Saccharomyces cerevisiae S288C: one gene and its partners. The protein of the gene in region 1 interacts with the protein of each later gene in a biochemical or structural test. Each region holds a gene or a part of one and is shown in the gene's direction. Other genes may lie near its edges.

Region 1 (8,093 bases):
TTAATACACTCTCTTCAAAGTATGGTATTACTCTGCAGCCATTATTTATAACTTGTGATCCAGCAAGAGACTCCCCTGCTGTATTGAAAGAGTATTTGAGCGACTTTCATCCCTCCATCCTGGGTTTGACGGGGACGTTCGATGAGGTGAAGAACGCATGCAAGAAGTACAGAGTATACTTTTCTACGCCTCCAAACGTCAAACCGGGCCAAGATTATTTGGTAGACCATTCCATCTTCTTTTATCTCATGGACCCTGAAGGACAGTTTGTTGATGCTTTGGGTAGAAATTATGATGAAAAAACGGGCGTGGACAAGATCGTGGAACACGTTAAGAGTTATGTGCCTGCAGAGCAGCGCGCCAAGCAGAAGGAGGCATGGTACTCCTTCTTATTCAAATAAGATTGTAAATATATGCTACTTTCTTCCTTGTATATACATATATACTTATAACGCTATAACCCGTTCTTGTAATATCGGCTATCACCCGGCGAAGGTGTATCGCAAGAAAAAAAAAAGCTCTCTCACTCTAAAGGAGGCTATGTGAACGTGGGAAGATCAAGTGAAAGAAATGTTTGTAGGCCATTTTCTTCCAGAACAGATCCGCTCTTGAGCTGGTGAGTTAGCACGATAACAAACAAAGATACAGCGTCATGTCTACCACACTACTTTGGTTTTCAAGTGTAATAGGCTACGTGATTCAAACAAAATGTTTGTCTAACATACAATCTAAAAAGGAAATCTCCGTGGGGCCCAATGGTACAATTGCAACGCCTGAAACTAACGGCGACAACGGAAACTCAAGTTCATTAACCTTCTATCTGACCTTTATGTATTTTGCTTCGTGGCTGCTCTTGGTGCCTGCATCTCGACTTTGGGAGAAGATGAGACCGATGTTTGTCTCTGACTCAGACTCGAACAGGAATTCTCAGTTTGACAACAACAACAGCGGGTCTGTGACAAACGAAGATGTCGATACGTTCTCGCACGTGTTGGATGATCCTCAACCACGGATTCCAGCCCAACAGCAGAAGCAAAAAATCATATCCGTGGCTACCTTCAAATATGTGGCTAAGCTAACAGTGCTGGCTCTCATAATGATTGTCGCTGATTTGACTTATAACATGGCTTTGTCATTGTCACCGGCATTTGATGTTGCTTTGATGCAAAATACTGCCATTTTCGAAATTGTCACTTTACTATATGGTGTTTGTGGAATCTCCAGGAAGAACTACGTTTTCCGTAATTTCCTCATCATGATGAACGCGGTCATTGGAATTTTGATCATCTCATACACGAAGGCTACCTGTGACATGCTTGCCGGAAAGCTGTCCGTCAACCCTAACACGGGTGAACTTTCTGACCCATTCTTGTTTGATAGGTTGAAAGGTGCTCTGATTTGCGGCCTTGGTGCTTTGATTATGGGTCCTTTTGCCGTGTTATGGAACCGTTGGTTTTGCAGTAACATTTCCAAGAACGAAAATTCTGCTGTAGTCTTGGTTAAGCAGAGCACCCACATGGCCCTAATCGGTATTATTGGCATGGTAATACTTTTGCCATTTATTCCTAAATTTCCCTCCCGTGAGTCTGTGGAATCCATTTCGTTGTTCTATAATGACAAGAGCTTTTGGTTCTCTCTACTAGGCTCGATTATCTTTGGTTCCTTGCCGAGCTTGATTTCGATATTAGAGTTGAATCGCAAGGCCCCTGCTGAGTATTTGACGACGTGCAACCTGGGAGCTATTATCTTTATGGGGTTAGCTGAGTGGGTTTGCGAACCTACGCAAACCACAATTGTGAGATGGGAAGTCATAGGATACATAATGCTAACGGTAAGTTTGTTGGTCCTATCAGTAACACTCGGGGAAGGTAAATACCACCATTAGTACGGACAACATACTTTATATGACTGATGATGATGTAACAAGCATATGCAATTATTTGGTTTCCCTAAATAAAAAATCCCAATCAATATCTTGATTATTTTCAAGACAATTACTAGGATGTTCTTCTATTTTTTTATTTTTATTTGTATATTGTATATTCTAAAAAGAAGAAGCCATTTGGTGGGCTTTATTATAAATATTAAGAGGCATACCTCCGCCTATCCGCCTATCCTCGTCATGAACAATCAATTAAAAGCGCTTATAAAGCGATATACAAGTACAGTACGCGCGATTTCTACAATACAAAAAATATACATCAAGAAAAAAAATGTTTCCAAAAATTATCTAAATGCATCGAAGGCATTAGGAGAAGTAGCTGTGAATACAACACCAAGATTCATAAAATGAACACACGGTTCCTTCCGCTTGGAAAATAATGCGACAAAAATACCGTATTGATCATCAAAGTAGTTTTAATAGATACCTAAAAAAACCATCTTGAAAAATCTCAAATTACGTTCTTGATCTTGTGTCATTGTTCAGTTACTGATCGCCCGCAAACCTAACCGATGCTTAAGAAAGGACACCCTTGCCTTTTGGCTTATTTACCTACTCGTATTTTTCTCTGTCACATCGTTCGATGTACGGGGCACATTTGGAAATTTCATCAGTAAGTTCAGTGAATAGATTTTTTATTTTACCTTTTTGTAGTGGGATTTATTCTTTTAAAGGCAAAAATCTACTGAAAAAACGGAAAAAACTAGAATAAACCATTTCTATATATACTCATGTTCCCTGACGTTCTTTTTCCTTTTTCTTTTTCCAGAGTTAACGATAAGATAGACATAAAGTGACAGCGCTTAGCACCGTCTGTTTGCAAATCTAACTTAAACTCCTTTTTTTCTGTCACCTTAAACAGTGTCAGAAAAAATACTAGGTATAAGAAAACGAGAAAAAAATAAACAGCGAACTCGTGCAAACTTTGCTAATAAACAATTAGCTGTAACATTTGTGTGTGGGTGTGGTGATGGTAGGCTTCCCATGGTAATTAAAAGGTTAGGTCGAGAAGAGGATCGGTACGAAGAAGGAATAACAGGAATAAGTTCAAAAACACTGCTTTAGCAACTAAATGCAATAGCAGTGTTTAAGAATTTACGGTTTGCATTTTCTAAACTCAGATTTTAGCCATCTATAAGTAGAAACACAATAAAAAACCACAAATTGCGCACACACAAGCATCTACACTGACACCAGCATACTCGAAATTCTTTGGAAAAGAAAAGAGCAGCAGGCTATCAACTGAAAGATCAATCCGAAATCCGACACTATCTCTTCACCATCGAGTGCCTACCAAATTTCTGAGGCCTGCATGATGGAAAACTCAAACGTAGAATGTACAAAAAACACGGACTGAAAAAAAAAAAAATACGATTAAGCAAACGCAACAGCCATTGACATTTTCATAGGGTACCTATCTTCCTCTCTAGTTTTATTCTCAAACCAGAAAAATCACACTAAAAGCTACAAAGAAGGTCTTTTAATTGAGAACCTTGAGATCTATATGTCACCATTGCTAAAGAGGAAGTTTTTTCGCGAGTTCGCGCGCTGAAAACTTTTCTCCCATTTCCTTTTTTTTTTATTTTTTTGGCGTTTAGATATAAAAGCTTTAGCAGGATTGCTCTTCCTTTTCACCACACATATAGTGATATAAAATTTATTTATAAACTAACACAAGTAAATATACAACACCCAGTATTTTTGGCTGCCCGTGTCTTTCTCTACCACGGGTAGTCTCTCTAAGCTGGCAGATAGATGTTTATTGAACCGCTTAAGTTCCGTTGTGAAGTTTTCGTCTTTCAGGCTGTATTTCATAACACTACTGTAGTTCACACATACACATGCGTAATGCCCCAATCTTGATAAACAGCACATACAAGTAACAGCAAGTCTGCTTAGCAGCCAGATAGAGCTCTTATAGATGCCACCAGAACCAGCGCCGGGTAAATTGTAAATACTAGAAGGGGCCGCAACTTATAAGAAAGAAGAAATGACTAATTTGCATGATTAGATATTTTAAAGATACTCTACCTAGACCAGTAGTACACTTCACGGATCTGCACTGAAAATGACTAAACAAGCTGAGGAGACCCAAAAGCCAATCATATTTGCTCCTGAGACGTATCAATATGATAAATTTACTTTGAATGAAAAACAACTTACTGACGACCCAATCGATCTTTTCACCAAATGGTTCAACGAAGCCAAGGAAGACCCAAGGGAAACGTTGCCAGAAGCAATTACTTTTTCATCCGCGGAACTACCTAGTGGGAGGGTGTCGTCCAGGATTCTTCTTTTTAAGGAGCTCGACCATAGAGGTTTTACTATTTATTCTAACTGGGGAACCTCTAGAAAGGCTCATGATATTGCTACCAACCCGAATGCGGCAATCGTATTCTTTTGGAAGGATCTGCAAAGGCAGGTGAGAGTTGAAGGTATCACAGAGCATGTTAACAGAGAAACTTCTGAAAGATACTTTAAGACGAGACCTCGTGGATCCAAGATCGGTGCATGGGCTTCCCGCCAATCGGATGTTATCAAGAACAGAGAAGAACTAGACGAGTTGACCCAAAAAAACACCGAACGTTTCAAGGATGCTGAAGACATCCCATGTCCAGATTATTGGGGTGGCTTGAGAATCGTTCCACTGGAAATTGAGTTCTGGCAAGGTAGACCCTCGAGATTGCATGATAGATTCGTTTACAGAAGAAAAACAGAAAACGATCCATGGAAAGTCGTTAGACTAGCCCCATGAGGGACTGTTAATGAAAAATTCAATGTAGGATCTATTTAACACCATATAATTCTCTCATTTTCTATTTTATACTGTATAATGAATCTTTTTATACCGCCTATAGGGTAATATGTCAGAATATACCGAGATGAAAAAAAAGAAAAAGGAATTCCGAAATTTGGAAATGGCGGGAAAATTTTTTCACAAAGGGAAATTATATGTTATAAAAATAGTTGAAGAGATGAGCTGCCTACTGCTCACCTTGCCGTTTCCAAAAAAGAGTTAGAACCGACAAATTCATCCAAAGAAAATAATGAGCAAGACAGCCGTGAAAGATTCTGCTACAGAAAAAACCAAGCTAAGTGAAAGCGAACAGCACTACTTCAATTCGTACGATCACTATGGTATTCACGAAGAGATGCTTCAAGATACTGTTCGTACCTTATCTTACAGAAACGCAATTATCCAAAATAAGGATCTTTTTAAGGACAAGATTGTTTTAGACGTCGGTTGCGGTACCGGTATTTTATCCATGTTTGCCGCTAAACACGGTGCGAAGCATGTTATCGGTGTTGATATGTCAAGCATTATTGAGATGGCGAAGGAATTGGTAGAGTTGAACGGATTCAGCGACAAGATCACCTTGCTAAGAGGCAAGTTGGAGGACGTTCATTTACCCTTTCCTAAAGTTGACATCATAATTTCTGAATGGATGGGTTACTTTCTACTATACGAGTCCATGATGGACACCGTTCTTTACGCTAGAGACCACTATTTGGTAGAAGGCGGTCTGATCTTTCCCGACAAGTGCTCCATTCATTTGGCCGGTTTGGAAGACTCTCAGTATAAAGACGAGAAGTTGAACTACTGGCAAGACGTTTACGGGTTTGATTATTCGCCATTTGTTCCGTTGGTCTTACACGAGCCCATCGTCGACACCGTGGAAAGAAACAATGTCAACACCACCTCAGACAAATTGATCGAATTTGATTTAAATACAGTAAAAATATCAGATCTAGCGTTTAAGAGTAACTTTAAATTGACGGCCAAGAGACAAGATATGATTAATGGTATAGTCACCTGGTTCGACATTGTTTTCCCTGCACCAAAGGGTAAGAGACCTGTTGAGTTCTCCACTGGTCCTCATGCTCCATACACTCACTGGAAGCAAACAATATTTTATTTCCCTGATGATCTAGATGCTGAAACTGGTGACACCATTGAAGGTGAATTGGTTTGCTCTCCAAACGAGAAGAATAACAGAGATCTAAATATCAAAATTTCTTACAAGTTCGAATCGAATGGCATCGACGGTAATTCAAGAAGCAGAAAAAACGAAGGTTCTTATTTAATGCATTAAGACTTTTGTTTGCTGGAGAAAGAAAAAAATTTGAAAAGCAAATAAACAAACTTGTTCATATTATTGACGCGAATATGTGTACTTTGTTACCCTTTTTTGTTGGTCGTGTACCAAAATTAGTTTAGATATATGACTTTGCATGTCCTTGTACTATAGTTTTTAAAAGAAAAAATCTACTTATCTATCCTTCATTAGGATGCTATTTTTCACCTTGTTATCATGAATATTAGTTAAAGAAGCAACAGCAACAACCCAATTCTGAATCATCCATCAATTTCCAACCTATGTCGGCAAACTTTTTCAATATCTTTTTGTTTTCTTCCTCCGATGGCGCAACGTTTGAGGCGTTACTAGCTGCACATTTTCCGGAATACATGCTCTTCATTACCGATTCGTAGCATCCGGTACTACTTGTAGCACTTACATAGTAACGCTTAGCACGGTCATGTGCATTCTTCCTAAAAGGTTCTAGGGTATTAAATAGTGCGGTTATTTGCACCAATTCGTTCAGCGCAGTTGACAACGTCATAATTCTGTCATTTATTCCCTTGGCCATATTTCCATTACGGATGTATAAACTTATTAATGTGGTAGGTATGGGTCCTATCAAACTAATGATATTATAGCATTCTTCCACCATTGGCAGCATGAAAATAGAAACAGTTCCCATCAAGTCTTTGGTTGTGCAACGTGTATTTTCTTCACTGGCAAGATTTGACGTAATACTTTGTGTTGGCGACATTAATTCTTCTTCACTGTCCTGAGCAAAATAGGCGTTCGGAAGGGGCTTTGAATCCAAATCAACAGAGTTTTCTGCGTTCATATTAGTAATTGAATCTAATATGCCTGATACCAGAGTGATCATTGAGCAGACTAGCTCTCCGATATTTTTCATTTCAGCATCCGAATTGCAGCAATTTTCTAGAATATGGTCATTTTTCTGTTCAATATTTAGTAATTTTCTGATTAAAATTTCCTTTTTCTTCAAAAGGGTCTCAAATTTGCCAGCTATATTATCATGTTCCCCTTTTTCAACAGCGAACTCTCCGTAATCCGTTTGATTTGTGAACAGCAAGTGGTGAGGTACATTTACTTGCAATGATTTTCTGTTAAGGACAAAATATGTTATAAATTCACCAAGTTTAAGGTTTCGTAGAATGTTATCCAAAGCTACGGGAGCTTTTTCGACGACTTGGTTATGACCTGTTTTATCGCTAAAATATGTTTCAATGGCGCTACCAAAATTTAGATTAATTAATTTTGGTTGACCTAGCCGAAAGCTTTGTAGCGTATCCAGAATGTTTAAAAGGATGTACAACCTTTTGAACAACACAGCATAATCCAGTATCTCGTCACCACTTTCCTCGTTTGAATTTAATAATAGCATTGGGGACGTATTTTGAAAAGGTAGAAATAACTTATGAGCTTGAAATTCGTTAAAAACCCCAACAGAGGGGCCTAGCAAAAGCGAGCTTTCCTCACCGGCCAATATTAAGATAAAATTTAACACTATTATTGTCGAAAAGTAAATGAACTTTATTCTTGAAGGAATAACACTGGAATTTTGTTTTAATACGGGTTTTATAGTTATTAAACTTTGGAAGCAGTCGGCTATACATTTGTTGAAATTCTGAATGTAATACAGACCTTTTTGAAAATCGCATAAACTGTCACGAGACCATGATTTTGTTGATTTCGATGACCTTCTTTGTTTTATTTTGCAAAATACCAATACCTCTAGCGCGGTTTTAAAACACTGGATAATTTCATTGTTAATTTGTCTGATCTCATCAATCACGTTTGGCTTTTCAGGATCAAGCATGTCAGTAAATTTACTTTTGTTAATTGGTATTACAGGAAAATTAATATGGAAAAAGTTATAGTAGATGCCTAAAACCTTGTAGAACGAGGTTGCATCAAACTGTCTGTAGGTTCCAAGCATAAGTGGTTTAGCACTGGCTTCCTGATTCAAGGAAACATTTTTTTCAGTGCTAGGATGAGAAGGATTCGACGATCGATATACAGGCTTCCAAGTCGAATTTTTGTCCCATTTGTCA
Region 2 (9,118 bases), on another chromosome or scaffold:
TATGTAGTATGTAGGGTACTTTTTACCAATATTATGAATGTCAAATTATCATATAACCCTTCTATGAGTTATTTTAAGAGACGTTTTTCTATGCTGTAAAAAGTCATCAAATTCATTGTCCAGATTAACATCAGAAACATCCAGTATTCGGAATTCAAGTTCAACTAACGTTTCCTCACTCTGGTTTCTTTGCATGCCACGTTTCATTACATGGTACTCTGTGTAAGCGTTGGAATTATGTATTATGCGCTTGTGGAATAATATGGTATCGTGGATGAACCGATTAACAGTGTCTATCAAGATATTGGCATCCTTACTGTCCCGTACTATTGTTGATGCAATAGTAACATACCCGTGGAGGATATCAAGCATGAAATTACCCCGACTGACCAGATCACCCAAAAGCTTTTGCTGATTCATGTTATTGCAATCCACCGTCTGATATGAATGGTACAAGTGAATGAGATTTTCATAAACTTTAATGATGCCTTTGAATTTTGCGTTCATATCATCGACCAGTGGTGTTGGTAATTGCTTTGGATCATTCAAAAACCGCAAGGAGTTGGTTTTTTGTCTTATGTATATCAAAGGAAACAAAGCAGAGTGTCCAACACCCAATGAAGATGGGTAACTTCTCACTTTCGAATCTTTATCTGATGCTTCGTTGACTATCTTGTTCCCTTTAAATATCCTTGTAAAACACTTTGGATCGTCCGGATACATAAAACTTTCAATTTGAATGTCCACGAATTCTAAAAGGCACTTGCATACGAGATCTTTTAAGGCATTAACAATGTAAACTTTCCCTTGATCGCTTTCCACATCTTTTATTGAAATTGGCTGCATTGTAAGATATTGTTACAGATCTTCTTATTTCAGCAACGCCAATACTATTAATCTGTGTTTATGCCACCTGAGCCAGTCTGGCACATATCTGCAGTAACAGAAAAGTTTCCTACTCATGGCGCTATTTTATATATATCACTTACCTTTTCTTTTTATAAAAAAATGTTACGTGTATTATGGCATATATTGTTGGTGTACGGAAAACACGCGGGGAAGAGAAAGTATAGAAAAGTGATGACAGAAACAAATGACTCATTATATATGAAAAGAAATAACTGCAGCGGTGAATATGCCACACTGGCATTATCAACAAGGAGCTGTTCATTTAATATGCAACAGAATGATTGGGTAACTATGGAAGGACTATTTCCTTTTGTGATGGTTTTGTGTCATTTGGAAACGAAGCCAATGAAAATAGGTATCCAGCTTATACTACAAGTCCCTTTCATGGGTTTAGGAATTCACAAAGAGAATAAAGAATTCTACTTGATATTATGAAATTTTTTACATTTGTTCTATCAGTTAGTAAAATAAATTTTATTGCGCTGTCATTTCTTGCGTTGCGGTTTCTACGACGTTCGAAGACAGTTAGAATCTTGTGCGAAAATGTTTCGAACTATGCCATCTTTTAAACCCGATACATATTCCAGCGAAATGGCTACTATCATCCTTTATACTAGCAGAAAATAAAACTGAAATAACGGGTTTATCACAGTTTACATGAGTTGCCATTAGAAACGAAACGGGCGTGAAACCGTAAATTGATGTAGATATTTACATTCGTTTGCACCTCTGGCGAATTTAAGGAAACACAAACGATCTTTCAGGTAATAATGCAAGGTAGAGTGAAAAATCTACTAATTGGACCTTGACTTGGCATCTATATGTATAAAAATATTAGTAGTTATACACAACTTCTAGTATATTACCTGGCCTGTTCTTGGTGATACTATATTCTAGTTACTAATTATCAAAACTGACGATAACTAGGAGCCGTTTTAAAGATACAGCTTTCGGGGAGACAAGTAAGAATTTAATTCTTGGATATTTCAAGATGAAGCGGTGGCTCAATGGTAGAGCTTTCGACTCCAATTAAATCTTGGAAATTCCACGGAATAAGATTGCAATCGAAGGGTTGCAGGTTCAATTCCTGTCCGTTTCATTTTTTATACTGCAAGTGATAATTTAAGGATGGTTAAATGAAGGAAACGGTGTACTAAATGTGCAGGGGCGTCTCTGCTGTCGCGTTTACCGATTGCTTTTTATTGTACCTTTTCTATTCTTTTTTTTTTCGGTTCAATTCTTGTAAGTCCACTGACGGACAAGAAATGTTGACAGCGGTAATAATGTCTTGATATTGCTAAGCGGACCTATGTTATTATGTTCAGCAGCATTTATGTAGAACTTTAGCTGATCTAATGATCGCTAATGTTATTCTTGTATGAAATGCCTAGACAATTAGTATAAAATTTGTGTGAGGTTACGTATGCTAATTGCAATGCAAAGCGATATTATCATATTTTATGTTAATTATTCTAATCTCATACGTATATTCTATCCTATCTCGTAATGGTTACTAGCCAAATTCGCCCGTATGAATATGTTCTTTTTATATCAGTTCATATTCCTTTTGATTTAAATGATACTTCTTTTTTTGCAGCCTGAATAGGTGCAACAGTTGCCATCCATTACATTAGTGTTTTGATGAGCACGAAACAATGTCATAGGCTTATCTGCCCCCTAGGCACAACGTTAATTTAACATTTATGACTGAATGGAAACCTGAGGAAGCTATATCGATTGGATAACGGGATCATTATATCCTGAGATAAATGCACTAATGTCGAAGTTCAAAATTTTCTGTAAGAAACTGCTGTAGTTAACAAACTAAACTATATTTCTGACCCGAAGGTATTGTCTTAAAGCTGGCGTGTTTCATAAAGTAAATATTGGTAAAGAAGTTGCCTGCATACAGAGTATTTTCAAAGATACATATTCAATTTAGAACAAGAAATGCAGATTATATTCATCTCTCATGAATGATGTACAATTGTATTGTAACAAGGCTGGGACTTTACAGAGAAAAATAATTCTATAATTAGGAAGCGACCCAATTCAAAGACTAAAAAGTAATTTGAAATGGGGTAAAATGGAATAGAGAGGTTCTGTGGAATGTCATATTATGTAATGTTGTAAAGTTAATGGTGTATATTTTGAGAAGCTATTGGCAGAAGGATTAGCGTTGCTAAGAAAATGTTGGATCACTATCGCAGAGGGTTTAAAGAGAATGATTGGAAAAAAATATCTAATTCACTGAAGCAGAATGGGAACTACTATTTAAAAACATGACGTATATACTAGTAATCTTTCAGTCGATCTGGTTGGAAGTACTATAGCAGAACGAGGTACAAAAGAGTGCACATTTATCTTTCTGTTTTATCTTTTTTTTTTGTTCTTCGAGATTGTCTAACAAAACAAAATAAAAGTATACGGACTAAAAGTAAATAAAAAAATATCTTTCATAATATAAAGATATGCATATATACAAATAGCGGGGAAGTATTTTAAACTTTATAGGCAAAAATCTCTTTAAAAAGCTTTGCACAATGAACAGACGCACCCATTCTTGCACACAAAAGAAAAATGCCACTAAATTTTCTATGTAACGAGTATGTTTCCTCTGGTGGCGGACATAGTCTTTCATTCAACATTAACCCGATATTACCTCTAATCCTGTCTGAGACTGTTTGATCCTTGAAATCGAAAGATTTATCTACATCACCCCTAAAAGGTTCACCAAGTGTAAGTACACTATCGACGTGCGCGTCTTTCATGGACTGCGATTCTAAGCCTGTGAGATAGCCCAGTTGTACAGACATTTCGTACGCCCCTTTCCTATCTCTCAATGTGGCGTAAGTTAAAAGTTTTCTATATTTTAGAATAAAATCTTCTGCAAAAGGTCTGGAGGCACCGAAATCCAATAATTCAATTTTCTTTGTCCTACCGTTATAGAGGAAATTTGCCCAATTAGGATCCGTTTGCATATACTTGAAAGTGGCAATTTCTTCCAGACATAGTCTCATGATATTCTCCGAAATAAAATTTTTGGTTTCTTGTGATGCCTTGGGCAATTTCATTATTTCAGTTCCCTCCATACGTGTCATAGTTATAATATTATCGGTTGTATATTCAGGAAACACATGAGGAACCTCAAACGCTGGGTCATCCTTTAGCAACGCCTCAAACTTTTGTAGAGCTCTAGCCTCTCTGTTGTAATCACATTCCCATTTTAACTCAGTTCTAGCGTTGGCAATTGTCTTATCCAAAAATAATCCCTTCGGTAATAAACTTGAGGCTGTAAGTAACATTAGTAAACTATTCAAATCCGAATCAATGGATTCTTTAACCCCAGGATATTGAATTTTGACAACCACTCTTTGACCACTGGGCAACTCTGCCGCATGTACCTGTCCGATACTAGCAGCTGCCATAGGTATCTTGTCAAATTTGGAAAACTTTGTCTTCCAATTAGCACCTAATTCCTTGGCCATAACCTTTTCCAATTGCCTTTGAGGCATATGATTTGCACTATTCTGTACCCTTGATAAAATTTCGTATAATTCCTTTGGCAACACTTTCTCATCCTGAAAAGACAATAGTTGCCCTATTTTAAGGGCAACACCTCTCATTTTAGAAAATTTATTGGTAATTCTGTCAATATTCGAATCTGATAGAATCAAAGATTTCCAAGTGGGAGAATTGCCCTTTGCAACTTCCGATATGCCTTTTGCTGCGGCATTCATGCCCACCCCTGCTGCCAGTGAGCCATAATGGAACAATCTCGATATTCGTGAAGTTGGTACACTGGAACTTTTTAATGTATCCTTTTTTTCCTCCTCATGCTTCCTTTCTACGTTTTCTTCACCTTCTTTGGCAGATTTTGTAGTATATTTCTTACTCAACGATATTGAAGAAACAGAAGAAATTCTCCCGTTCTGTATAGTTCTTAAGAGACGGGATGAACAATACAATCTCCTTAAATTCCTCAATTTCACCATATTTGTAACCATATCGAACGATATCTTAGCCGAACAGGTCCCAATAAGGATGCCAAGGAAGCGTACTGAGTACAGTACCAGAAAGATCTTAACTAATTAAGATCATCTAAAAAAGTACTGGGTACTATTACAGATCTAAAGCTTTACAAATGAATATTACCCGGATCATAGTTTGCTGACTGATAGTATATAGTTATGGACAAATTTCATCATTTTCCAAACTAAGGTCGTTTAGTTTTACGCTCTGTATTCGTTTGCTGTTTCAACTGACAGTATCATTTCGGAGTCCCATAAATCTACCAGATTGCTTTTTATTGATCTAGCGATCTTATACACAAGTCCTTTTTTATTTCTTTTTCTTTTTTTTCGGTGCCTCTGAAAAATTTTCAAATGCGAGATGAGGTGAAAAGAAACTTATTCAATTGTAATATTTAACACGTTTACGGGGATGCGATTGAGTAACGATAGTATAACCTTATAAACGCGCATAGAAAGATTAGGACTGCAAGAATAATAATGGGTTCCAAAAGAAGATTCTCGTCCGAACACCCGGATCCAGTTGAGACCTCTATTCCTGAGCAGGCCGCCGAGATTGCGGAAGAATTATCCAAACAGCATCCTCTTCCATCCGAAGAGCCACTTGTCCATCATGATGCTGGTGAATTCAAGGGCTTGCAACGTCACCATACTTCAGCAGAAGAGGCCCAAAAACTTGAAGATGGAAAAATAAATCCATTTACCGGTAGGGAGTTTACACCAAAATATGTTGATATCCTGAAAATTAGAAGAGAATTGCCAGTACATGCCCAGAGAGATGAGTTTTTAAAACTTTATCAAAATAACCAGATTATGGTTTTTGTTGGTGAAACAGGTTCCGGTAAAACGACACAAATTCCTCAATTCGTTTTATTCGATGAGATGCCACACTTAGAGAACACTCAAGTTGCATGTACTCAACCTCGTCGTGTCGCAGCAATGTCTGTTGCACAGAGAGTTGCTGAGGAAATGGATGTCAAGTTGGGCGAAGAAGTTGGTTATTCTATCAGATTCGAAAATAAAACTTCTAATAAAACGATATTGAAGTATATGACTGATGGTATGTTGTTGAGAGAGGCAATGGAAGACCATGACTTGTCGCGTTATTCATGTATCATTCTGGATGAAGCGCACGAACGTACACTAGCTACTGATATTTTGATGGGTCTTTTGAAGCAAGTAGTCAAGAGGAGACCTGATTTGAAGATAATTATTATGTCTGCTACTCTGGATGCAGAGAAGTTCCAACGCTACTTCAACGATGCTCCATTACTTGCCGTTCCGGGCAGAACATATCCAGTTGAGCTATACTATACACCGGAATTTCAAAGGGACTATTTAGATTCTGCCATTCGTACTGTTTTGCAAATTCATGCCACTGAAGAGGCTGGCGATATTTTGTTATTTTTAACTGGTGAAGATGAAATTGAAGACGCTGTCAGAAAGATTTCCTTAGAAGGTGATCAATTGGTTAGAGAAGAGGGATGCGGACCTTTATCCGTATACCCACTGTATGGTTCATTACCACCGCATCAACAACAAAGAATATTCGAGCCTGCTCCAGAGTCACATAATGGTAGACCAGGCAGGAAAGTTGTTATCTCCACGAACATCGCTGAAACTTCTTTAACAATTGATGGTATTGTCTACGTCGTTGACCCAGGATTTTCAAAGCAAAAAGTTTACAATCCAAGAATTAGAGTTGAGTCTTTACTTGTTTCCCCTATCTCCAAGGCTTCTGCCCAACAAAGAGCTGGTCGTGCTGGTCGTACAAGGCCTGGTAAATGTTTCAGATTATACACTGAAGAGGCATTCCAAAAGGAACTGATAGAGCAAAGTTACCCAGAAATTTTACGTTCCAATTTATCCTCCACCGTTCTAGAACTAAAAAAATTAGGTATTGATGACTTGGTCCATTTCGATTTTATGGATCCACCGGCTCCGGAAACAATGATGAGAGCCCTTGAAGAACTAAATTATTTGGCATGTCTGGACGACGAAGGTAACTTAACACCCCTAGGTAGATTGGCATCCCAGTTTCCCTTGGATCCTATGCTAGCGGTGATGTTAATTGGGTCCTTTGAGTTCCAATGTTCTCAAGAAATACTAACTATAGTGGCCATGCTATCGGTTCCAAACGTGTTTATTCGCCCAACAAAGGACAAGAAGCGAGCAGATGATGCCAAGAATATCTTTGCTCATCCAGACGGTGATCATATCACCTTACTAAATGTATATCATGCGTTCAAATCGGATGAAGCTTATGAATATGGTATCCATAAGTGGTGCCGTGACCACTATCTAAATTACAGGTCCCTTTCCGCTGCTGATAATATCCGCTCCCAATTAGAAAGATTAATGAACCGTTACAACCTAGAATTAAACACTACAGACTATGAAAGCCCTAAATACTTTGACAACATCAGAAAGGCTCTTGCGTCTGGGTTTTTCATGCAAGTAGCAAAAAAAAGATCGGGAGCTAAAGGATACATCACAGTTAAAGATAACCAAGATGTTCTGATCCATCCTAGTACGGTTCTTGGCCACGACGCAGAATGGGTCATTTACAATGAATTTGTGCTCACATCGAAGAACTACATAAGAACTGTGACCTCGGTCAGGCCCGAATGGCTGATTGAAATAGCGCCTGCATACTACGACTTAAGCAATTTCCAAAAAGGTGATGTCAAATTATCTTTGGAAAGGATCAAGGAAAAAGTTGATAGATTAAACGAGTTGAAACAAGGTAAAAACAAAAAGAAGAGTAAGCACTCCAAGAAATAGACATTTTGTGTCGAAAAAAAAAAAAAAATAGATTTATATAAATTTATAGGACTATTTCATAGAGAGAAAATTCAACTAGAAATAGGTACACGTAACCTAAAGCTGCTTGTACTAAAATCATAGCGCCCTGTATCAAAAAGAAGCTTTTTTCTTTTGTTGGGTATGTCTATATAGAGCACATCCTATATTCCCTTCGAGGTGTTTTTACAAGAACAAATAAAGAAACAAACCGCGGTGTGAGGAAGTTCCCTTAAAAATGGCAAAGATTACCGTAAAGGTAAATTACTCCTTTAACGATGCTTAAAACGAGCATCTTACTCTTGCAACGAAATTAATCACTCAATTTCAACGAGGATGTTGGCTTCCCATCAAAGTAGTTTTGGGGTAAACCGCATATATCTGTATATTAAGAAAACTTATTTTCCACTATCTAATTTGAACTACAGAGAAGATAAGAAATCTTTTAAGTAGCAATCATGTTTTATCTAAGTGACATCGAGGAAGAAGCCTCGGCTGGGGCTGAACCAACTTATAATTTCTGGGAAGTTTTGTTATTCTCCAATACTCAAGAAAACCTCGTCACCGTTGTCGGAGAGTTGCACACACTTACCGATCGTGTGGTTCATTACAAAATTGAGCCTGAATCAAGGGAAGTTACTGCCACAACACTGCCATCTTTGTTAGCACTTTTGCTAGAAAAAAGGAACCAGGCGAGACGTTTATATAGGGATGTGCTTTCAATGAAAATGTCAGAACTGGACTGGGACATCGACGATTTGTTCACACAGTTACAAGAAGAGCTAACAAGAACTGATGACACTCTTTCTATGTATCCTAGGAGAAGGTTCTATCACTAGCTTGCTCAACGCGACCTTATACACAGAGTTTAATGTGAAGAGAACATTCATATACAATTATATAAACATTGTTGTATTCTCGTACATCGTTACACAAAATACGAAGCGGGGAAATAGTGATATTCGCTTCGCTGGTGGCAAATGGGAAAAATACAAAATTTTACACATCTTTCTTCCAAATACTTCCATAAAACATCTAAATATAGTGGTTTCTAATTATCTCTGATCATAAGGAAGTGGAAGTACATCAGAAATGTCTCAAGAACAGTACACAGAAAACTTGAAGGTTATCGTTGCCGAAAAACTGGCTGGTATACCAAACTTTAACGAAGATATCAAGTATGTTGCGGAGTATATTGTCTTATTGATCGTTAACGGTGGTACTGTTGAATCTGTCGTAGACGAGCTGGCTAGTTTGTTTGATAGTGTTTCGAGAGATACGCTTGCAAATGTTGTTCAAACAGCCTTTTTCGCATTAGAAGCTCTGCAACAGGGAGAAAGTGCTGAAAATATTGTTTCCAAAATTAGAATGATGAA
Region 3 (7,825 bases), on another chromosome or scaffold:
TGTACCATCCGATCTTTCTAAAGTGTTTCTGGTAAAGCAGGCAGTAATATTTTGATTAGCCAGCTCACTCAAACTTAATAGATCATAGGCTATGTTTGGTGTGTGTAGTGCTTTTATTGATGTTTTGGTGCCGTTCTGAAAGTTGAAGTGAAGATTACCAATGGCATTTATAGGAATGTCTTGTTTTTGAGCATCGACTATGTTTATTTCAGAATTGGGTGTTGCATGGTGTAAATAATGGGCTGATCTGACAAGCGTTTGCGAAGCTCCTGAATCAATAAGAAGGTGATCAGGTAGTTCGTCATTCGAGTCTATTGTGTGTGTTGGCTTAGATTCTTTCTGTTGCTGGCCTAAGACTAAGTTCGTTGTCATCGCTTAAGTATTGTGATGAAACGGTTGATTCATTAATGTGATCATTGTTCACCCTTGAGAATTTACTAGATGTAGCAATATTGTGAGCTTTTGCTGCTCTTGGTTTTGAACTATTTGTTCTATGATAATTACGAGTTGTAACCTTTGTGTTAGTCGTGTTTGGAGATGTGCGAGAAACATTTTTGTATTCGCTGTGTTGTTTGTATTGGGACGGTTTATTTAGATTCATGATTTTATTTTCGTCATATATTAACTGAATTTCAGCGAATAATTGGGAAAGTTTCATGTTCGTTTTGGTACGATATTGATTACGTAGGTATTTGAAGTCACCGGATAGACCTTTAAGTATTAGTTGACAGGCCAATCTGTCGCTAACATTGATATTGTTTTCTTTTAGCCTCTGAATGATCGTACTGACTGTAATTTCAAATGTATCAGCAGATGTACTTCCGTCGTACTCAAGGTTGGCAAGAGCTATCCAATCCTTTAATTCTTGATTGTTAGTTTGCATTTTGGACACACTTTTACAAAGGACTGTAAGGATGTCAGCATAATTAATTTCTAAAATTTGTTTTACCCATGTTGGCAATAAATGAAATGGGGCAAATGCTTGGAAGGTATTGTATATATACGCATGTTCTTCATAAGTCATTTGACTTTTGATTTCACCCTGGTCATTTGGAATGATGTCACCGAGATTAGAGTTCTTCAAAAATCTGATGTAAAATTTAACCCATGTAGAAAAGTTTTCTTCTGATGTTAAAGTGTGTGGTGGTAAGACGTTATTTCTCACCTTTGTCTCAGCTTGAGGTACTTCAGAGTGTTGATTCTGTGAATCGATTGGATCAGGTGAGGAAGTACTCAGTGGTGGGATATACTGTGGCAACGGATAGTGTGGGTCCGGTTGATAATACGCAGGTGACGTTTGATAATGTGAACACGTCATCATAGACGGTTGTTGGTAATGTGCCCAGTTAGAGGCCATAGCTTTGTTTGGGGTCATCATGCCGTGCTGTTGGTACTGTCCATTCTGTGGAGGTGGTACTGAAGCAGGTTGAGGAGAGACATGATGATGGTTCTCTGGAACAGCTGATGTCCCAGGTGTTGTCTCTTGTTGAGAATTAACCTTAGTGGAATCTCTATCAAATTCCGGTAAATTGGAAGCTGAAACGGCTAACGGATCTTGATTTGATGGGACTTCCTTAGAAGTAACCGAAGCATAGGCGCTACCATGTAGAGAATGTGGATTTTGATGTAATTGTTGGGATTCCATTTTTGATAAGGCAATAATATTAGGTATGTAGATATACTAGAAGTTCTCCTCGAGGATTTAGGAATCCATAAAAGGGAATCTGCAATTCTACACAATTCTATAAATATTATTATCATCATTTTATATGTTAATATTCATTGATCCTATTACATTATCAATCCTTGCGTTTCAGCTTCCACTAATTTAGATGACTATTTCTCATCATTTGCGTCATCTTCTAACACCGTATATGATAATATACTAGTAACGTAAATACTAGTTAGTAGATGATAGTTGATTTTTATTCCAACAATATATATAAATTGCTGTAATCTAGAAAACTACAATGTGAATGCTAGTTACGTGGAAACAGAAGAATTAGTTTGAGTTTATATCTGGATTTCCTTTGATATATGGATAAGTAAGCTCGCTACGTGACATAAATATTTGAATAAGAATCAGAATTAGTGGGGCGATAAAGCAATTTCCGATCACCTCTCATGCGAATATACACTTTGCACACGTACTACCGCAAGCATTGTTATTTTTAAGGCACCTTTGACATGGCCAACGAGCGTTCATCTTTTATACCCCTTTCATAACTATATGAAGGTGTACGATTATTTTGAATGACTACTACAATTTAGCCGCTAATTATCAACATGAATCAAGCGGCTTATAATGCACTAAAATAATGTATCGTTGTACGATAGGTACATTATCGTTTCTACCATTGCAGAAATACGCGGCTCATATTTTACAAATCTTGGATTTTCGTGGTGAGGGGACCTGAGGGTTGTAGAAAATGTGACGTAGCGGAGATTCAAAAGAACGAAAACAAAATAGTAGATACCCCGCTCTGTGAGTTTCTTCAAGGGTTCGACAAATGAATTTAGATACCGTTCAAATTTTTGATTTTCTTGGCGTTCTAAGAATGTCCTATCACAGCCTTGCCACTATCTGACTGACGGAGAAGAACATTGAGATATGATGTTACATTTTTTTATATTCATGAATATTAGTGCGTATTTACAGTGAAAAGCAATCGTCCAGAAATGCATAAACGAAGAATCGATATATAAAACACATTGTATTATAAACTAAGTAACACGTCATCTTCTGCACCTCCCATTGCGACTTCTTTGAGTTCAATCTGTAAGCTAATCGTATGCCGTTTTTCAAACGTGTTTGAGTAGAAAAGTAGCCACCATATGTGCACGGTGAGCACAAAACGTATAGCTCGCATCAGGCGTTCACCAGCCTTGAATTCGGCTCTGTCTCAAGGAAGGATTAGTACTCGGACACGCCGTCGCCGTCTCTTGCAATAAGTCCATGTTCTTGCTCTGGAATAAGGTGAACTCTTTAAGTATTTTCTCTTCTAGGCTCAGTTCTCCGAGTTGTAGGGCAAAATCAACCATGCCACTACTGCCATGATCGCTGCTTGTGCCAGTAGCATCACCTATGAAGCCCTGATCGGCTTGAATATTTGCGAAATGTGCATTCGAAGAAAGATGGTTGAAGTATCCAGACATAATGCTGTATAATGTTGACTATAATCGGTTGTTTTAGCTCTGTGGTATACTACAGATGTGCTAAAATATGCCGAAATCACCACAATATACAATAAATACGATATCATCATGGACGCATGCACGACATATTACAAGGCGGGGGAAAGAAGAAACGGAGCGCCAGAGCCACAACGAGGAAGCGGGTTTGTGGCTCTCACATCACAGCCCGCCCCTACCAAGATCGTAAGCAACGTGTTCAACACGTACCAAAAAACCATAATGGCAAGCCAGCGTTTACCTCACCCGCGGATGACACATCCTGCTCTTACATATGATCGCGGGCTGTCCACAAAAAACAACCTGGAAATACCAAATTTGGCAGCTACCGCGGAGTAGTGGTCATGACGGAGAGAGTTGCCAAAAAGTGACTGACTCGACTCCCCTCACAGCCCGGATCAATTTTTCCATGCGTTTCCACGGAAATCCGAGGTTTGCCGTTAGAGTCCCAAATTGGCGATGGATGATGAGATAATGCGCCCTTATCAATCACGCTAAAAATTGCCCCACGCTGTACTCAACGATCATAGCTGGCTATTGTTATCGTTGGCTTAGATGGTTTCGCCCGTACAAAAATAGACTTGCATATATATAAAGCTTATCTTCGGCCTCAGTCGTCTAAAAAACTATCTTGCCTAACATTATCTTGTCTTCTTTTCGTTCCCTTGAATCATATATAAGAAAAGATAATCAATCATTCGGCTATTTTCTTACAGATACATACATACGTATAATTCATCAATCATAGCATTAATAGAAGATAAAGTATAATGATCGCTACCTCCAGAGCCGTAAACATGAATAAAGAATCAAAACACAAGAAGGCTGTTGCCAAACCATGCAGAGAGAGACAAACTTCAGTTACAAGAGCCATGAGACCAGCTGTAGCACGTGATCCTCGCAGACTTTCGACGTCGTCGTCTCCTTCTTCGTCACCAATGTCAGCACAGAGAAGGCTTTCGAGGGAAGAAATAATAAACGAAATGGAAAAGGAGCAAGACGCTATTGTAGTAAGACTTCTACGGGAAATTGAAACTTTAAAAGAAGAAAACTCTAGGTTAAAAAATCAACTGCACCATCCGGTCCCGGCTAGAAGGTCGTCTCCATTTTTCGAAGGCGAGTCTGCCATCCTAGATGATGATGACTGCAATTATGGTTACACCCTCGACACTCCAAAGCTAAAGCTCACAGATGGTGCATCCAGACACACCGTACTTCCCTTAACACCCAAGGACTCCATGACCCACATTTCCCATTCCGCCAGAAGGTCAAGCCGGAACGCTTCCATATCTAACGGAACAAGCATCTCAGACACGATTTTCCCCATTGAGACTAAAATCCACTCAGCACCAACAACAAACAGAAACCTTCCCTCCGCCGATCTTCCACATCACACTCTTCTTCCACGTTCTCTAAGCGGCATTTCGTCTAGCGATTTAACCGAATCCGGTGCTCTTCTTCATGACAGGAGAAGGCGTTCTTCCAATTACAGTCTCGATGGCTCAAACTCTTTAAAGGCTGATCTCATGGCAAAGAGATTCCAAACTGGTTCATTGAAATAGGCTGTAAGCGAGATACATAAGAAAACAGAGTTTCTCTAAATATATTCTTCCTATTGATCTTTGGCAATCCAACACATATGCAGTTCGTGCACTTGCGTTATAAGCGTGACTTCTCGCTTGGTTTTTTTTTATAATTTTTTTTTAAAACCTCATTCTAAGTACAACTTTGGCGTTTTTCCAAGCTACTACTTATAATTATATGGTTTATTTCATAAATATATATATATATATATATATATATAGAAAATCAATATACATTTAAGCCTTACTGGAGATGACACTATTTTTGTTCACATTTTTTCTTATGCTCTAAATACCTCGGCCTCATACGCAGAGACAGTGTTGATATGTTTTTATACAAAGTAAAGGCAAAGAGAAGGCACAGACAGGATTTCACAGGCAGCTAAGTAATAACGAATATGCTTGCTTCACATATTTTGCCGCCAAATTACACGCTATGGAGCTACGTTCTACTAGTGGTTACTTACCGCTAGCTATTTAAACCCCATCACGTTGATTGTCTATTTCGCTATAGGTTATTTTGCCAAGAAAACTTACTGGGCAATACTTACATCCATTCAGATTTTTGGATAAAGCAATTGAAGAAAGACGACAGCAATTCGACTGGTGGTTGTTAATTACCCTTTGATCCTCTGATTTAAAGACGTAATCCTTCCTGGGGGTAAGTGCCTGATGTATGGGTCCCCATGCCCTTTTTTTTCGTTTCTTTTTTCACTCCATTTCTTTTTTTTTTTTTTTTTTTGGTGAAAAATTTGCAAGGGCAGCTCATCGCAAGAACGAAAATTTTCAATCCAATATTAAAAGTACTTAAGTGTAGCTGTTGCTGTCTGCACTTCCCAATCCATTGGTACCTTAAGTTATTTCCTTTCGTAGTATTTTTCTTACTTTTGCTTCCCAAAGACGAACTGTTAACCAATTTCGGATCACTCAACCCAGGCAGGATAAAATAAGATGGCTAAGACTACTAAAGTAAAAGGTAACAAGAAGGAAGTTAAGGCTTCCAAACAAGCCAAAGAAGAAAAAGCTAAGGCCGTCTCTTCCTCTTCCTCCGAATCTTCATCCTCATCTTCATCTTCATCTGAATCTGAATCTGAGTCTGAGTCTGAATCTGAATCTTCATCTTCATCTTCATCCTCTGATTCTGAATCCTCTTCTTCATCGTCTTCTGACAGCGAAAGTGAAGCTGAAACCAAGAAGGAAGAATCCAAGGATTCCTCTTCCTCTTCCTCTGACTCTTCTTCCGACGAAGAAGAAGAAGAAGAAAAAGAAGAAACCAAGAAGGAAGAATCAAAAGAATCTTCTAGCTCTGATTCATCCTCATCTTCATCTTCTGATAGCGAAAGCGAAAAGGAAGAGTCTAACGATAAGAAACGTAAATCTGAGGACGCCGAAGAAGAAGAAGACGAAGAGTCTTCCAACAAGAAGCAAAAAAATGAAGAAACCGAAGAACCAGCTACTATTTTCGTTGGTAGACTATCGTGGTCTATTGATGACGAATGGTTGAAGAAGGAATTCGAACACATCGGTGGTGTCATTGGTGCCAGAGTTATTTATGAAAGAGGTACCGATAGATCTCGTGGTTATGGTTACGTTGATTTTGAAAACAAATCTTATGCTGAAAAGGCCATTCAAGAAATGCAAGGTAAGGAAATTGATGGTAGACCAATCAACTGTGATATGTCCACAAGCAAGCCAGCTGGTAACAACGATCGTGCCAAGAAATTCGGTGATACCCCATCTGAACCATCTGACACTTTGTTCTTGGGTAACTTATCTTTCAATGCTGACAGAGACGCTATTTTCGAATTATTCGCTAAACACGGTGAAGTTGTTTCCGTCCGTATCCCAACACATCCAGAAACTGAACAACCAAAAGGTTTCGGTTATGTTCAATTCTCCAACATGGAGGACGCCAAGAAGGCTCTAGACGCTTTACAAGGTGAATACATTGACAACAGACCAGTTAGATTAGACTTCTCTTCTCCAAGACCAAACAACGATGGTGGTCGTGGCGGTAGCCGTGGTTTTGGTGGTCGTGGCGGTGGTCGTGGCGGTAACCGTGGATTCGGTGGTCGTGGTGGCGCTCGCGGTGGCCGTGGCGGTTTCAGACCATCTGGTTCTGGTGCTAATACTGCTCCATTGGGCAGATCAAGAAATACCGCTTCTTTCGCTGGTTCAAAGAAAACATTTGATTAATGAGAAAATGAAATGAATTTCAATTTCAATTTTTTCTCTTTTTACGTTAATTACTATATTCCATTTTTGAGGAAAAATTTGGTCTATAATATTTTGTGTACATTAGTAAGTAAATAGGATACATTCTTAAACCTTTCATTCACCATCTCTATTTGCCAACTTTTCTTCGAATGGCTTACTCTTTTTTTTTTCACGATGAGATGAGATCGCTAGATACGGAAGATTACAAGGCCTTGGAAAATACTCAAAAAATTTCAGTAATATGAAATGAATATCTAAATAAAAGCTTGGGCGTTGTGCTTGATTGAGCCACGAAAACTTCCTTTAAGGATTAGCACATACTCCACTTAAAAGTAGGAACATACTCACATTAAGGTGTTATCAGAATAAATGAATGTTCAAGACAGAAGGAGGTTATTAGGCCCTGCTGCTGCCAAGCCAATGGCGTTTAGCAACACTACTACTCATGTGCCAGAAAAGAAATCAACAGATTTGACACCTAAAGGCAATGAAAGTGAACAGGAACTTTCTCTACATACCGGTTTCATCGAAAACTGCAATGGATCTGCATTAGTAGAAGCTAGAAGCTTAGGACACCAAACATCGCTCATTACCGCTGTCTATGGACCACGCTCCATTAGAGGATCCTTCACATCTCAAGGTACTATATCTATTCAGTTAAAGAACGGTCTTCTGGAAAAATATAACACAAATGAACTGAAGGAAGTTAGCAGCTTTTTAATGGGCATTTTCAATTCAGTAGTAAACCTATCTCGCTACCCCAAGTCCGGCATCGATATCTTCGTTTATTTAACGTATGATAAGGATCTTACAAATAATCCTCAGGACGACGA
Region 4 (7,765 bases), on another chromosome or scaffold:
CGACGCAAACAAATTGGAAAAACCAACGCAAAAAAAAAAAGACGCTAAATTGTTTATAAAGGCGAGGAATTTGTATCTATCAATTACTATTCCAGTTGTCAGTTTACATTGCTTACCCTCTATTATCACATCAAAACAACTAATTCGAAATGGCCCCAGGTAAGAAAGTCGCTCCAGCTCCATTCGGTGCTAAGTCAACTAAGTCTAACAAGACTAGAAACCCATTGACTCACTCTACTCCAAAGAACTTCGGTATTGGTCAAGCTGTCCAACCAAAGAGAAACTTGTCCAGATACGTCAAATGGCCAGAATACGTCAGAGTGCAAAGACAAAAGAAGATCTTGTCCATCAGATTGAAGGTTCCTCCAACCATTGCTCAATTCCAATACACTTTGGACAGAAACACCGCTGCCGAAACCTTCAAGTTGTTCAACAAGTACAGACCAGAAACTGCTGCTGAAAAGAAGGAAAGATTGACCAAAGAAGCTGCCGCTGTTGCTGAAGGTAAGTCCAAGCAAGATGCTTCTCCAAAGCCATACGCTGTCAAGTACGGTTTGAACCACGTTGTTGCCTTGATCGAAAACAAGAAGGCTAAGTTGGTTTTGATTGCTAACGATGTCGACCCAATTGAATTGGTTGTCTTTTTGCCAGCTTTGTGTAAGAAGATGGGTGTTCCATACGCCATTGTCAAGGGTAAGGCTAGATTGGGTACCTTGGTTAACCAAAAGACCTCTGCCGTTGCCGCTTTGACTGAAGTCAGAGCCGAAGACGAAGCTGCTTTGGCTAAGTTGGTTTCTACCATTGACGCTAACTTCGCTGACAAATACGATGAAGTCAAGAAGCACTGGGGTGGTGGTATCCTTGGTAACAAGGCTCAAGCCAAGATGGACAAGAGAGCTAAGAACTCCGACTCCGCTTAAATTGAAAATGAGAAATTTTGCATAAAAAATTTATTTTTTAATAATAATATTAATTTTCAAACGTTTTAATATAATAATGACCTTAAATAACCTTTTAAGGTGATTGCTTTGTTGAAGCTTTGATACTTGGACCATGGGAAGTACCTCATTATAGGAAAATCATATCGACTTATTTTGAATATCACAATAATTTTGCATGCCTTAGTAGTTTTGGATTACCTAAGCTATGTTGATCGCATCCAAGATTATTAGGTCAGAAGGTCATTAACATCCAAAAGCGATATGATTGTGCCATTGAAGTGAGTGAAAGCCGTGGTTTCGAGACAAAGTTACAGAAGTAGTCACCGTTGTAAATAAGTATTGCCATATCGGATTGATGCTGGGAAGAAGTTCAAATTCATATTCTCACTTGCGCTACCCGTGCAGCTGGCAATCTTGAAGCCAGCGTCCAGTTAGTCTGATATGGCGTGTTTAACGATGTTTGAAACTCCACGATCATTGGTCGAGTCAAGAATAAATGTAATGTCATTTGAAATGTCGTCAGTAGACGTCCGTTACAGTTATGAAAGACTTCGAGGCCGCACACTAAGAGTCACCATGCTACTTCTGCAGGTGGCCGCGCTGTACACTTGCATTTTGTATGGGGAACTTTATATTTAAAATTAAGGCTAAGGCAATGTAGGCACTATCTAGGGATCTCAAATACATAAATTTCTCTGCAATTAAGTTATTAGATCTACAATTTACCAATTTTATCATCGAGCGGAAAATATTGAAAAGTATATACAATTTCTCCTAAAAAGGCCCTGCTCGTTTTGACCTGTACTAGTAACTATTTTGCAGCCAATTATGGTAGTGAAAATATGATAGTACACTATTTTTTGGGTCACTACTGCCGCTAAATATTTTAAAATTTGTATGAATTGCCTCTTTATTATCTTTAAATTCCCGTCCCAGGTGACGCGTCGCCAAAGGGAAGGGGCAAAACTAGTCGAAAAGCAGAATAAAATTTTTCTAATTTAGCCACCCTGAGTGTCACAGGTTGTGGCATAAAGGATACGCAATTGGACTCAAAATAATCATTCTGCAAATTTAAAGGAAGTTACTGAGTTATCACTACATCGAGAGAAGAAGTTTCCCCCAAAAGAAAGAAGAAAACCCTCAAACGAAGAAAAATATGTCTGCTGAAATTGAAGAAGCTACTAATGCCGTAAACAACTTGAGCATCAACGACTCCGAACAGCAACCAAGGGCTCCTACTCATAAGACAGTAATTGACCCCGAGGACACAATCTTTATTGGTAATGTTGCTCACGAATGTACCGAAGACGACTTGAAGCAATTGTTTGTGGAGGAATTCGGGGATGAAGTCAGCGTAGAGATCCCAATTAAGGAACACACCGACGGTCACATTCCAGCTAGTAAACACGCTCTAGTCAAGTTCCCAACCAAGATTGATTTTGATAATATCAAGGAGAATTATGACACGAAAGTCGTTAAGGACAGAGAAATTCATATTAAGAGAGCTAGAACTCCAGGCCAAATGCAAAGAGGAGGTTTCAGAGGCAGAGGCGGTTTCAGAGGCAGAGGAGGTTTTAGAGGAGGTTTCAGAGGCGGCTACAGAGGAGGTTTCAGAGGCAGAGGGAACTTCAGAGGTAGAGGCGGCGCCAGAGGTGGTTTCAATGGACAAAAAAGGGAAAAGATTCCATTAGACCAAATGGAAAGATCAAAGGATACCTTATATATTAATAACGTCCCATTCAAAGCTACCAAAGAGGAGGTCGCTGAATTTTTCGGTACTGACGCCGACTCCATCTCTTTGCCAATGAGAAAAATGAGAGACCAACACACTGGTAGGATCTTCACATCCGATTCTGCTAATAGAGGTATGGCATTTGTCACTTTCAGTGGTGAAAACGTTGATATTGAAGCTAAAGCTGAAGAATTTAAAGGCAAGGTTTTCGGTGACAGGGAGTTAACTGTAGATGTTGCTGTTATTAGACCAGAAAATGATGAAGAAGAAATTGAGCAAGAAACTGGTTCTGAAGAAAAGCAAGAATAATTACTTCTTACCCACATCCCTATTTCTAACTTGAGTTTTTGCTAGAGTTTTGTATTTTTGTTCACCTTCCCTGCAAAAGAAATATGTGTATTTATATATGCGTGTATACCTATATATGATATGTAAAAATGAGACGCCCCTGTTTTATTTTCAAACACTTCCCCGTATAGTTTTTTGCAATGACACTACTTTAACTTCTTCGACATGATTTGCTTTAGCACTACGAAGGATTGCATCATAACGTTTCGAAAGGGGTGCACTTTTAAAAACCAGTAAGTGAGTGCCTCGTGAACTGCTATTTTCGTATTTTGAAAAAAAAAATAAAAAAAAACTCCCTTATATATATATATAAATATCTATGTACTAAATGTCAAATCGCTAGCTCTCACCTATATCTTATTCATGCTGCAACCTCAATGGTTCACTACCTCGGAGAATGGGAACGGATCCCCTTATTATCCGAAATAATGGTTCATTTTGGGAAGTTGATGATTTTACTCGTTTAGGAAGAACTCAGCTATTGAGCTACTATTTACCATTGGCTATCATAGCCTCAATTGGCATTTTCGCACTTTGTCGCAGTGGATTATCTCGTTATGTAAGATCTGCCGAGTGCGATTTAGTGAACGAATATCTATTTGGCGCACAAGAAGAGAGAAAAGAAGATAATAGTATAGAAAGACTTCTACGGAACTCAAATACCCAAGCCAATTACGTCAACGTCAAAAAGCAAGGAAGGATTTTGAAACTTAGACATTTTGATATAACAACTATAGATGTCAAGCAAATCGATGCTAAAAATCATGGTGGACTAACGTTTAGTAGACCGTCTACTAGTGACCACTTAAGAAAATCATCTGAAATTGTATTAATGTCTTTACAAATAATTGGCCTTTCCTTTTTAAGAGTAACAAAAATCAATATTGAATTAACGAACAGAGATGTTACAACTTTACTATTATTTTGGTTAATACTACTTTCCCTAAGTATCTTAAGAGTTTACAAGCGTTCAACGAATCTTTGGGCCATCTGTTTTACTGCCCATACAACTATTTGGATTTCAACCTGGATTCCAATTCGTTCGGTCTATATTGGTAATATCGATGATGTACCCTCACAGATATTTTACATCTTTGAATTCGTAATTACTTCAACCTTACAGCCAATAAAGCTCACTTCACCGATTAAAGACAACTCATCCATCATCTACGTTAGAGACGACCATACGTCTCCTTCGAGGGAACACATATCCTCAATTTTAAGTTGCATTACTTGGAGCTGGATTACCAATTTTATATGGGAGGCCCAAAAGAACACTATTAAGTTAAAGGATATTTGGGGCTTATCAATGGAAGACTATAGCATTTTCATTCTAAAAGGGTTTACCAGGAGAAACAAGCACATTAATAATTTGACGCTAGCACTGTTTGAATCTTTCAAAACATATTTACTCATAGGAATGTTATGGGTTCTGGTGAACAGTATTGTAAACCTTCTTCCCACAATTTTAATGAAAAGATTTTTAGAAATTGTGGATAACCCAAACCGTTCCTCATCATGCATGAATTTGGCGTGGCTTTATATTATTGGTATGTTCATTTGTAGATTGACATTAGCAATTTGTAATTCCCAAGGTCAATTTGTTTCTGATAAGATTTGTTTAAGAATAAGAGCCATACTCATAGGAGAAATTTATGCAAAAGGCTTACGTAGGAGGCTGTTTACATCTCCAAAAACCAGCTCTGATTCAGATAGTATCTCCGCAAACCTTGGTACCATAATTAATCTCATTTCTATTGACTCATTTAAGGTATCGGAACTAGCAAACTACCTTTATGTGACAGTTCAGGCAGTAATTATGATAATAGTTGTTGTAGGACTACTTTTCAACTTTTTAGGTGTTTCAGCTTTTGCAGGAATTTCAATTATCTTAGTGATGTTCCCATTGAATTTCTTGTTAGCGAATTTGTTAGGTAAGTTTCAAAAGCAAACACTGAAATGTACTGACCAAAGAATCTCAAAATTGAACGAGTGCTTACAGAACATAAGAATTGTCAAATATTTTGCTTGGGAAAGGAATATTATAAATGAAATCAAATCAATAAGGCAAAAGGAATTAAGATCCTTATTAAAAAAATCTTTGGTGTGGTCCGTAACTTCTTTTCTTTGGTTCGTGACACCGACCTTGGTGACAGGTGTCACTTTCGCCATCTGTACATTTGTTCAACATGAAGATTTGAATGCCCCGCTTGCTTTCACTACTTTGTCACTCTTCACTTTGTTAAAGACACCCCTGGATCAATTATCAAATATGCTAAGTTTCATAAATCAATCAAAAGTCTCTCTAAAAAGAATAAGCGATTTTTTAAGGATGGACGATACAGAAAAATATAATCAACTAACCATATCTCCAGACAAAAATAAAATTGAATTTAAAAATGCGACTTTAACCTGGAATGAAAATGACAGCGATATGAATGCATTCAAATTATGTGGTTTGAATATTAAATTTCAAATTGGTAAGTTAAATTTGATTTTGGGTTCTACAGGATCTGGTAAAAGTGCATTGCTGCTGGGTTTACTGGGTGAACTAAATCTAATTAGTGGCTCTATCATTGTTCCGAGCTTAGAACCAAAGCATGATTTAATTCCCGACTGCGAAGGTTTAACCAATTCCTTCGCATATTGTTCACAAAGTGCGTGGCTATTAAATGACACGGTAAAAAACAATATTATCTTTGATAACTTCTATAACGAGGATAGGTACAACAAAGTAATTGATGCATGTGGGCTGAAAAGAGACCTGGAGATTTTACCAGCAGGTGACCTAACAGAAATTGGTGAAAAGGGTATAACTTTATCAGGAGGGCAGAAACAGAGAATTTCCTTGGCGAGAGCTGTTTATTCGAGTGCTAAGCATGTCTTACTAGATGATTGTTTGAGCGCTGTCGATTCACATACTGCTGTATGGATCTATGAAAATTGCATCACAGGTCCACTAATGAAAAATAGAACCTGCATTTTAGTTACGCACAATGTTTCATTAACACTTAGAAATGCCCATTTCGCGATTGTGTTGGAAAATGGCAAAGTGAAGAATCAAGGAACTATTACAGAATTACAAAGCAAAGGGCTTTTTAAGGAAAAATATGTTCAACTTTCTTCTCGAGATAGCATTAATGAAAAGAACGCTAATAGATTAAAAGCTCCCAGAAAAAATGACTCTCAGAAAATCGAACCTGTCACCGAGAACATAAATTTTGATGCAAATTTTGTCAATGATGGCCAGCTAATAGAAGAGGAAGAAAAATCAAACGGTGCCATAAGCCCCGATGTTTATAAATGGTACCTGAAATTTTTTGGAGGCTTCAAAGCTTTAACAGCCCTGTTCGCTCTTTATATCACAGCTCAAATTTTGTTCATCAGTCAGTCTTGGTGGATACGACATTGGGTCAACGATACCAATGTACGAATAAATGCTCCAGGTTTTGCGATGGACACGCTGCCATTAAAAGGGATGACCGACTCTTCGAAAAATAAACATAATGCATTTTATTACTTAACCGTATATTTTCTTATTGGTATCATTCAGGCAATGCTAGGTGGTTTTAAAACAATGATGACGTTTTTATCCGGTATGCGAGCCTCCAGAAAGATCTTTAATAATCTGCTAGATCTAGTTCTACATGCCCAAATACGATTTTTCGACGTGACGCCGGTTGGTAGAATCATGAATCGCTTTTCAAAGGACATCGAAGGTGTTGATCAAGAATTGATTCCATACTTAGAAGTAACTATATTTTGCCTAATTCAATGCGCATCAATTATATTTCTCATTACCGTAATAACTCCTCGCTTTTTGACAGTCGCCGTTATCGTTTTTGTTTTATATTTCTTTGTGGGGAAATGGTACTTAACGGCAAGTAGAGAATTGAAAAGGTTAGATTCAATAACCAAATCACCCATTTTTCAACATTTCTCAGAGACCTTGGTAGGCGTTTGCACAATTCGTGCATTTGGCGACGAGAGGAGATTCATTTTAGAAAATATGAACAAAATTGACCAAAATAACAGAGCATTCTTTTATTTATCAGTTACTGTCAAATGGTTTTCTTTTAGAGTCGACATGATTGGCGCATTCATTGTTTTAGCATCAGGTTCTTTTATTCTGCTCAATATTGCAAATATTGACTCGGGTCTTGCCGGCATTTCTTTGACATATGCCATTTTGTTTACAGATGGTGCTTTATGGTTAGTTAGACTGTACTCAACATTTGAAATGAACATGAACTCTGTTGAAAGACTAAAAGAATATTCTAGCATTGAACAAGAGAACTATCTTGGCCATGATGAAGGCCGCATTCTACTTCTAAACGAACCATCGTGGCCAAAAGATGGAGAAATTGAAATTGAAAACTTATCTTTACGTTACGCGCCAAATTTGCCTCCTGTCATAAGAAATGTTAGTTTCAAAGTGGATCCTCAAAGTAAGATTGGGATTGTCGGAAGAACTGGCGCAGGCAAATCTACCATAATAACGGCATTATTCAGATTACTAGAACCAATAACCGGATGTATCAAAATAGATGGGCAGGATATAAGTAAAATTGATCTCGTTACATTACGTCGTTCCATTACTATCATCCCTCAGGACCCTATTCTATTTGCAGGTACAATCAAAAGTAATGTTGATCCATATGATGAATATGATGAAAAAAAAATATTCAAAGCACTTTCACAAGTAAATCTAATTTCTTCACATGAATTTGAAGAAGTGCTTAAC

The links.
Region 2: of the proteins of HMT1 (region 1) and PRP43, one has a biochemical effect on the other in vitro, tested with the Saccharomyces cerevisiae proteins (one study listed by BioGRID).
Region 3: of the proteins of HMT1 (region 1) and NSR1, one has a biochemical effect on the other in vitro, tested with the Saccharomyces cerevisiae proteins (2 studies listed by BioGRID).
Region 4: of the proteins of HMT1 (region 1) and SBP1, one has a biochemical effect on the other in vitro, tested with the Saccharomyces cerevisiae proteins (3 studies listed by BioGRID, with this or other methods).

Annotation. Positions count from the first base shown.
Region 1 is NC_001134.8:302,873-310,965, reverse strand, and holds HMT1 (protein-arginine omega-N methyltransferase HMT1), read left to right. Parts: upstream 1-4,989; coding exon 4,990-6,036; downstream 6,037-8,093. Other genes in the region: Cu-binding protein SCO1, read left to right, coding at 1-401; CSG2 (mannosylinositol phosphorylceramide synthase regulatory subunit), read left to right, coding at 653-1,885; pyridoxamine-phosphate oxidase PDX3, read left to right, coding at 4,011-4,697; EDS1 (Eds1p), read right to left, coding at 6,263-8,093. UniProt on the Saccharomyces cerevisiae protein: S-adenosyl-L-methionine-dependent protein-arginine N-methyltransferase that catalyzes both the mono- and asymmetric (type I) dimethylation of the guanidino nitrogens of arginine residues in a variety of RNA-binding proteins such as heterogeneous nuclear ribonucleoproteins (hnRNPs) and small nuclear ribonucleoproteins (snRNPs).
Region 2 is NC_001139.9:280,240-289,357, reverse strand, and holds PRP43 (DEAH-box ATP-dependent RNA helicase PRP43), read left to right. Parts: upstream 1-5,420; coding exon 5,421-7,724; downstream 7,725-9,118. Other genes in the region: ARO5 (Aro5p), read right to left, coding at 49-846; YGL118C (uncharacterized protein), read left to right, coding at 907-1,344; protein kinase COQ8, read right to left, coding at 3,411-4,916; GPG1 (Gpg1p), read left to right, coding at 8,201-8,581; mRNA-binding protein NAB2, read left to right, coding at 8,835-9,118. UniProt on the Saccharomyces cerevisiae protein: Pre-mRNA processing factor involved in disassembly of spliceosomes after the release of mature mRNA.
Region 3 is NC_001139.9:805,558-813,382, reverse strand, and holds NSR1 (Nsr1p), read left to right. Parts: upstream 1-5,726; coding exon 5,727-6,971; downstream 6,972-7,825. Other genes in the region: YGR161W-A (gag protein), read right to left, coding at 329-1,645; YGR161W-C (uncharacterized protein), read right to left, coding at 2,878-3,156; RTS3 (Rts3p), read left to right, coding at 3,963-4,754; exosome non-catalytic core subunit MTR3, read left to right, coding at 7,362-7,825. UniProt on the Saccharomyces cerevisiae protein: Involved in pre-rRNA processing. Specifically binds nuclear localization sequences. Candidate for a receptor at the nucleus that may be involved in both RNA and protein transport. Binds telomeric sequences of the type (TG[1-3])n in vitro.
Region 4 is NC_001140.6:28,410-36,174, reverse strand, and holds SBP1 (Sbp1p), read left to right. Parts: upstream 1-2,097; coding exon 2,098-2,982; downstream 2,983-7,765. Other genes in the region: 60S ribosomal protein eL8 RPL8A, read left to right, coding at 150-920; putative ATP-binding cassette multidrug transporter VMR1, read left to right, coding at 3,419-7,765. UniProt on the Saccharomyces cerevisiae protein: Functions in the transition of mRNAs from translation to an mRNP complex destined for decapping. High-copy-number suppressor of decapping defects. Overexpression suppresses decapping defects in both DCP1-2 and DCP2-7 mutations.